Daphnia pulex: one gene and its partner. The protein of the gene in region 2 purifies or fractionates together with the protein of the main gene of each other region. This does not show direct contact. Links are inferred from orthologs where the notes say so. Each region holds a gene or a part of one and is shown on either strand. Other genes may lie near its edges.

Region 1 (3,521 bases), on a different chromosome or scaffold from region 2:
AAGATCACCAACCGCCAACCCGAACCAACTAAAACCCATCACAAATTCTAAGAAATGCCTAACAAATTACAAATAGCAATCAAGCTAATTAAGCTAACATCAAAACCCCTAACAAATAAAAATGGCGACTCTTTCTCTCAAAAGCTTCAGCTGACAAAAAACCAAGAAAAGGGTAAGGGCTTAAAAGGCTAGCCTACGCCCAACAACTGAAGACAAACCTGGCCACTAGATGTCATCTTCAGTGTCTCAGCCAACAACAATACAATTTTTCAAAAATTATTACGACTAAATCCATCAGGGGAACTTCACAATTTGATGGGTGGACCAATTTACCAAATTCGTCAATCACTTCAATCAGGCTCTGAGCAGAGAGATTGATTTGGCAGCGGAGGAAATGAAACTGACTGCATTTCACTTCCACTTCATCTTCGCTCAACGTCTTCCAGAGGTGAGCAGCTTCTGCGTTGCTACTCTCGTCCACCATCTTCACTCAATTTTAGATTACAAGCATCCTGGGTGTCAGGGCACACGAAATAGCGTTCACGTGATGAATTCTTCCTGCACTGTGCACTGTTTGTTGGTAACTTAGTATATGTATTAAAAAAAGAAAAAAAAAAAAACAGTTGAGTGTTATGCATCTTAGGTTTGTTTGTTAACTATATCATGGGAGTCACCTGCCTCAGATAGTAGATAGCTCTTGATAAAGAGTTTTTTCAAATTCTGTCTTGACCAAAAGTCCAAACTGCAGCAATATTTCATTTGATAGGGGACTGGTAGTAGTATCATGTATTTCTTTCCCCAACGCATGCATTTCATCGCCAAAGCCAATTTCTTCCCGGATGTCAGTTCTTTTGGCAAAGATGCGTTTTGCAATGAACCTGCATTCGCGCCGATCGGTCCATTCCGTCGCCCGTCGGTCGTGACCTAAAAATTCCAGAGTCCGAAAAGAAAATTAAGACATTTCGTTAAAATATCCAGAAAAAGTTATTTTTACTAAAACACTCAATCTCGAGATGCTAAAGTCTTTCTCAATAGCCTTGTTCATACCAGCTGTAAGAGATTGGCTCTAGAAGACAACACATTAGAGGGTAACGGGACATCCGTGGGTAACACAGCATTCGAGAGGTAAAAAGCAAACTTTTTCGTTAACGGACTCATTTGCCAAATTCTCACTACAATCAAACAATTAAATTATTCGTGATTAAAGCTTTGCGACACCTTCAGTCATCACCTACACTGTTAGGTGGTCACTTTGCAACTGGTTTGGTGAATGGTGATGCAGACGAACTTCCGAAAGAACTGGGAAAGTGGGAAGCGCTGTTGCAGTGCTGTTATTACTGTCTTATTAGTTATTACGGATTTACGGCCATTAGTGAGTTACTGAACGTTATAATATTTAAGTTTATAATGTAACAAAAATTACAAACAGAAACAGCCTGGAAAGTGGACACAGCCTACCTTTCTATCGGAGGTAGCTGAGTGAAAAATGCAACGCTGGATGTTAATTGCTTATTGTAAAAATTAAAAATCTTACAATTCTGTCCCATAGATGGCAGAGTGCAACAACTTGTTGTTTTCGGTTGGGTTGGTTCTGTTTCTGTTGTGCAATATATTTTGTCTTGGTTTATGTCCCATGAGATAAGACAACTCAGGTGGGATCGTGCGGTTTGGAATCATGAATTGGTATATTATTTGCAACTTATTATTATTAAATGCAAATTTTTAAAGTATTTTTTGTAGGGGTCTAATGAAAAGAAGTCAGCTTCATGCTAGGCCATCACCTTCATGTGGACTATGCACAATTGCCGAAGAAGCAGATATTGATTATGCATTTCTCCGGCTTCAAAAGTATTTATTTTTAAGTTGATTTCAAGTATTAAAATACATTTTTTTTTCATGTACAGGCTTGAAGAAATCAATCGAACAGTCCAAAAAGAGTGCAAGAACCTGAAAGAGTCATTTTCCACTTTAGCCCGTTGTGAACAGAAGCTCACTTCAGATCTGTCATCATGTAACCAAGTGTATGAAGAGGAACATTTCAGAGTCTTAGCAGAAGAATACCACTCAGTTTCCAAACAAATGGGGGAATCTGCCAAACAATTTTCTGATATTGTACAAGTTACTGTGAATGACCCCTTAAAGAAACTTGCTAATGAATTTGGAAGTGCACAAACAGCTATTAAAAAAAGAGATCAAATGATTACTGATCTCCTTCCTGTAAGAAAACAGTTAGAAAAACTCAAGGAAAAGGAGAGAACAGGAACAAACATTGCAAGGACAGAGCAGCTTAAACGTTCCTTATCTGTTATGGAAGGAGATTTTAAAACTACAAACAAACAACTATTGAATGACATGAACACAATGTTGGATCTGCGAGCAGATTACATTGAACCATCCCTGTTAGCATTAATTCGAGCCGAAACTAATTACTATGGTGAATGCACGAAACTATTCAATTCATTAGTCCTTCACAGCGGCACTAGTCCTAAAAGAACTTCTCCGAAAGCGACAAAAAGCGAACCAGCTGCTTCAGAGTTAATAGCACAATTTAGTCAAGATATGCAAGCTATACGTGCTCTTTCCATTGTTGCTGATAAGTAAAATTAAAGCTATGCATTACCAAAAATTTGTTGTAACAGTCCATCCAGCATCCTATACCCGTCACATTTCTTTCCTATAATAATATTTAGTATTGGTGTGCACTCAAGTGTCTTAAAAACTGTTATAAATACTTTTATAAATACAGAGTACATTTTTCGTCGAATATTTTCTAATTACATCTTATATATATTTCGTTTCCTATTGCTCCATGCCTCCATCAACAAATTCTTAAGTAAATGCGTTAGATGAATGAATTTATTGATATAGGCAATCCATCATATGACCACTATATAAGTAAATTACATTGATGCGCGCCACGGATTGCAAATTCAATCGATTCAAGGAAAAACAAATTATTTCCACTATAAAAAAAGAAGGGAAGAGAAAAAAAAATAAGGGAGGCGGTCGTCAGGGAACAACTCAGTAGAAGGCTTAATGTGAAAGTTGGGGAAATGATCAATACAGAAATTCCTTTTTAGTGGCGTTGGGAAACAAGGTTACTCGCACATTATTTCACGCCATTGATCTGCTGGATATACAATTAAAAGAGGCGGATTAAAAAACTCATACAGAACTCAATTGTCGATTTGAATCGATGGCAGTCCGACGTGTCATCCTGAAAATAATATTTAAAAACAATTCCAGGTGAAAAGAACAGCGTCTGACGGCTAAGTTGGGCACGTGTTTGCGTGTGTATCTGTGATTAATAAACATTTTATTTTCCAATATATCCATTCAAAGAACCTTCCTCTGTCTCTCGCCTCCTTCAATCTCTCTACACTTCGACTAGCCAGCAGCTGGTTGTGAAAGAAGAAATTAAGGCCCGGAAAATTCCCTATAATATAATATATATGCATAAGAGAAGTGGGAGCGAGAGTTGCAAAAAAAAAAGAAAAAAAAAAGAAAAAAACAGCCAGATA
Region 2 (3,831 bases):
AAAAATACCATTATATGTGATAGGAAAGGTCTCCAACAAGATTTTGAAATATTTCTTGCTAGATGTTTGGGACGTTTTTTTTGGTATTTCTTCAACACCAATGCAACCTAACACGTGTAATGAGTTTTCTCTTTTAATTATTGTAAAATAGAGTATTCTTCACTGATTCAACACGAAAAATACTAATATATGTGATAGAAAAGGTCTCTACCACGATTTGGAAATATTTCAGGCTAGATGTTTGGGACGTTTTTTGGTATTTCTTCAACACCAATGCAACCTGTCACATGTAATGAATTTTTACGTCAGGTATTGGATGAAAAAAAAATAGATAAAGGTTACAATAGTTGGGCTAAAACCGAATCAAAAAGACACCGTAATTTTAAATTTTTTTTTGTTTACATTAATAGGAGATTTCAAAACAAGCAGGTTAATTAGTTCTAGAGAGAAACTTGCTCTCGCAGCAGAGATCGGTGGATTTTCAATTTATTTATATCTTTAAAGGCACAACTGGCAGTTTTACACAAGAAAAAAATCGTGCAAATTGGGAAACGAGATATTCGAATACGCTCTATCAAAGTGATAGCGAATTGATGCAATTTTAAATTCGTTATTCTCTTCTCTCCCTTATCAAGACAGCCATTTAAGAACCCCGATTTCAACTTGATGATTAGTTGCTTCCAATTGGTTATTAGTGATTATACTTATTAGAGGGATTAATGAAAAAGTTTTGTTTCAGTTTGGTTAAATATGTAATATGAATTGTTTTTTTTTCTGCGTACGAAGAAGTAAATATACCGGTAAATTACACAGATAAATTTTTCAAAATAAAATGTTATACCAGTTATTTTGAAGTTTCATATAAAATGCGAAATGTAACATTTGAGTTTCATCAAATGAGGAACTACAACGTCTGTGGCCATTTTGTTAGATATGCAGCGGGTGCGTATCCTTGAGCTCCTGAATCGTTTTCTACCAACCACCATTCTGAGTTTTTTTAGAAAAAAAAGTATATTGCCATTTGACTGTTTTCTAGGATAAATAAAAATATTATTTCACCTTCATTTCCACCTTCATCGTGCTTAGCAAGGACAGTGACGAGTTCATTTTCAAGCAAATCAATCTCTAAGATTGTGCTTTTTTGGAATGTAAATTCCACTTTATAAATCTGAAAAATACAATTTATCAGTAGCATTATTATGTGATAAAGCTATGTGCTATCAAAATGATTACGCACATTATTCTCCGTTGAGGATAACTTCTCTTTGCTTTCTCTTGATGGAATGATGTCTTCTATGATAGCGTAAATAGGACTCTCAGCCTTCTCATCAGGAGAGTAATACGCTGCGTTCATCTCTTTAGAATTGGATTCGTCAACTAATAAATCATCTATTTCGCAGTAACGATGGGGAGACTGTGCTTCTTCGTTTCCCAAAGCTTCTTCATACGAAGGAGGTAAATCATATACATTTTCTCCGTTTGTAGAACTTGGTTCTTCTTCTTCATCGAAATAGAGTTTTTCCAATGAGCTAGAATTACAAGAGGTAACACTCACAACACTCGATGCCACCGACGTAGTGGATTCGGGTCTTAAATGAGTCGATGCAGGTGGCGAAAAAAGATTTAGATGTTTAGCAGGTAAGAAACCTCGCACTTCTGACGTTGACGAAACATATAAAGGGATTAACTTATTAGTTAAATAAGAATTTATATATTTCCCTGTAATTATAAATATGATTTTACCTCCGGCATCAACAAACCAGCGGCCAGTATTGCCCATTGGATCTTCTCGTTTGACGACACTGACAATTAGACCGGAATTAGCTGACAAGTCCATTGGATCCCTAATTTCACAACGACCTGTCACCATGTACAATTGCTCGGGTTGATATTTTGAGCGAAGAATATTGACCGTTTCTCGACTTTGAACAACCTGATTCATGACAAATAAATACAAAAGATCGACTAAATATTAATGATTATGGAACCTACAATTCCTTCTCCGGGGCTATGATTGCCTAAAGCAGAAGAAAGCCTATTCCGTACTGGCACAGGATCATTGGGAGAAACAGATCCATCGGTTGACACAACATTGGTGGATGAACGGCGAAAGGATTTATTAATAAAAGTAATTCTAGATAAGCGATCCACGGCTTTGCCGTAGGAAAGTTGGAAATCCTCCTCTATTTCTCCTTGAAGACTGGCGATATCTGAAATCTAAATATAATATCGGTAAGAAATAATAATTTTTGTTGGAGAAAACGACCAAATATTCTAATAGACTTCTATACCTCATTTAAATCTAATAAAGATTTAGTAATCCGTCCAACCAAAAGCTTCCTGGCATATAAAAACGACGAAACGCAGCGTCGGTATATATTATATCCGTGCTCTGTAATGATTGGAAGCTCCTCCATAAGTTGACTATTAAGAGCTAAATGGGTATTTCGAGCTAGGTTTTCTTCTTCCTCCAACTAAATTTCAAATCATCTATTAATAAGTCACATCACTTCATGCATAGATAAACAAAAAGCTCACGGTGCGTCTCATTGCTGGATCTCTATTTCTAGCCAACCGCTCGCTAGCGATGTTTGAATCGAGCAATTTGTCTCGTCTCTTAACAATTAGCCTTTCAGGACCCACGCAGGCGTCGCACAAAGCCGTTAAAGGGTTACGTACATGTTGTATGACGTAAGCGTCCTAAGATGATAAAACATTATTTACTTATATTATTCTAATGATGGCGTAAAAAAACACTTTTGCACTCACAAATGAGTTCCAGTGCTGTGTGTAAATTATACGTTGGGCTGTACGGAAGTTGTCGATCAGTGGGACTCTGTTTGCTTCACCGTAGAAAGAAGCAAAAGCTTCTGATATATTGAACTGTATTTGTGAAGTGCCCTTGAGTTGCTCACATACGGCAGTGATATCTCGCAAAGCCGCCTGGATGACACGAAACAGTTCTCCGAAACGAAGTTCTACTTCCTCGAAAGCTATGTCCTTCGTCTGTAAATAAAAGAAGGGTACTTAACACTAAACAAACAATTATCTGGAAATGGCAGACGATAATTTAGAGGCATTTGAAGAAAACTGACCGTGGGAGCCATGCCAAGTGACGTTTTCAAGAGCATGCCAATTCGAGAAGATTTTTTTGCCACAGAGTGCTTTTCAATGAAACAACGTTATTATAATTCAGTAAAGCTAATTTTTTAATTCTACGGTTTACCATGTTAAAACGAGAGATTCTCGCACTGAGCTTTTCTTCCAATCCAGAATCACGATATTTGAGCACAATTTCTTTTTTGCGCTTGCTTTCGTTGATATGCGAGGCAACATTAGTCATCAGTCCCAAGGCTAATACCAAGTTGCTTTTATCGGGGTGATCATTCTCGGTATGCTGTGTAACAAAAACAAATACTTCAGTCATCTGTGATCAAATTTTTGTCGTAGATAACAGTAGAAAAATAGATCACCTTTATCAGTTCTCCCAATATCAAGGAATATTTCAGTATGCGTTGAACAGGTTTAATAATGACTGAACCCACATTGAAGCAAACTATTTCGTTTCGAAGAGTGGCGATCCCTTCATCCAACACTTTATGGACGCTGGGCAGAGTTTCGTACTGCAGTAAAAAAAAGATTAAGGGGTAAGTTGTTGAGATAAGAAGTTGCGCAAAAAGCAACAACAACAATTACTTTTTCCAAAAGAAACTGCGCGTTATCATGATTAATGCAATAAAGGCTATATACGCGACGAAATTCAGGTTCCGTCTGAATAAAACTCTTGCCGATTGATTGATTCGTTGAATTCGATTCTTCAGTGTTTACGTT

What was found.
Region 1: the proteins of dynamin-binding protein-like (region 2) and bridging integrator 3-like purify together in Homo sapiens (co-immunoprecipitation; 5 studies listed by BioGRID and IntAct, counting the BioPlex papers as one, with this or other methods). This does not show direct contact. The link is inferred for Daphnia pulex from reciprocal best matches to the Homo sapiens genes DNMBP and BIN3.

What each region holds. Positions count from the first base shown.
Region 1 is NC_060017.1:5,564,097-5,567,617, forward strand, and holds bridging integrator 3-like, read left to right. Parts: upstream 1-1,555; 5' UTR 1,556-1,675; coding exon 1,676-1,683; intron 1,684-1,740; coding exon 1,741-1,848; intron 1,849-1,904; coding exon 1,905-2,601; 3' UTR 2,602-2,764; downstream 2,765-3,521. UniProt on the Homo sapiens protein: Involved in cytokinesis and septation where it has a role in the localization of F-actin.
Region 2 is NC_060018.1:2,573,522-2,577,352, reverse strand, and holds the end of dynamin-binding protein-like, read right to left. Parts: coding exon 3,697-3,831; intron 3,624-3,696; coding exon 3,474-3,623; intron 3,398-3,473; coding exon 3,227-3,397; intron 3,165-3,226; coding exon 3,096-3,164; intron 3,007-3,095; coding exon 2,770-3,006; intron 2,701-2,769; coding exon 2,539-2,700; intron 2,475-2,538; coding exon 2,292-2,474; intron 2,218-2,291; coding exon 1,993-2,217; intron 1,934-1,992; coding exon 1,744-1,933; intron 1,657-1,743; coding exon 1,238-1,656; intron 1,169-1,237; coding exon 1,060-1,168; intron 988-1,059; coding exon 905-987; 3' UTR 471-904; downstream 1-470. UniProt on the Homo sapiens protein: Plays a critical role as a guanine nucleotide exchange factor (GEF) for CDC42 in several intracellular processes associated with the actin and microtubule cytoskeleton.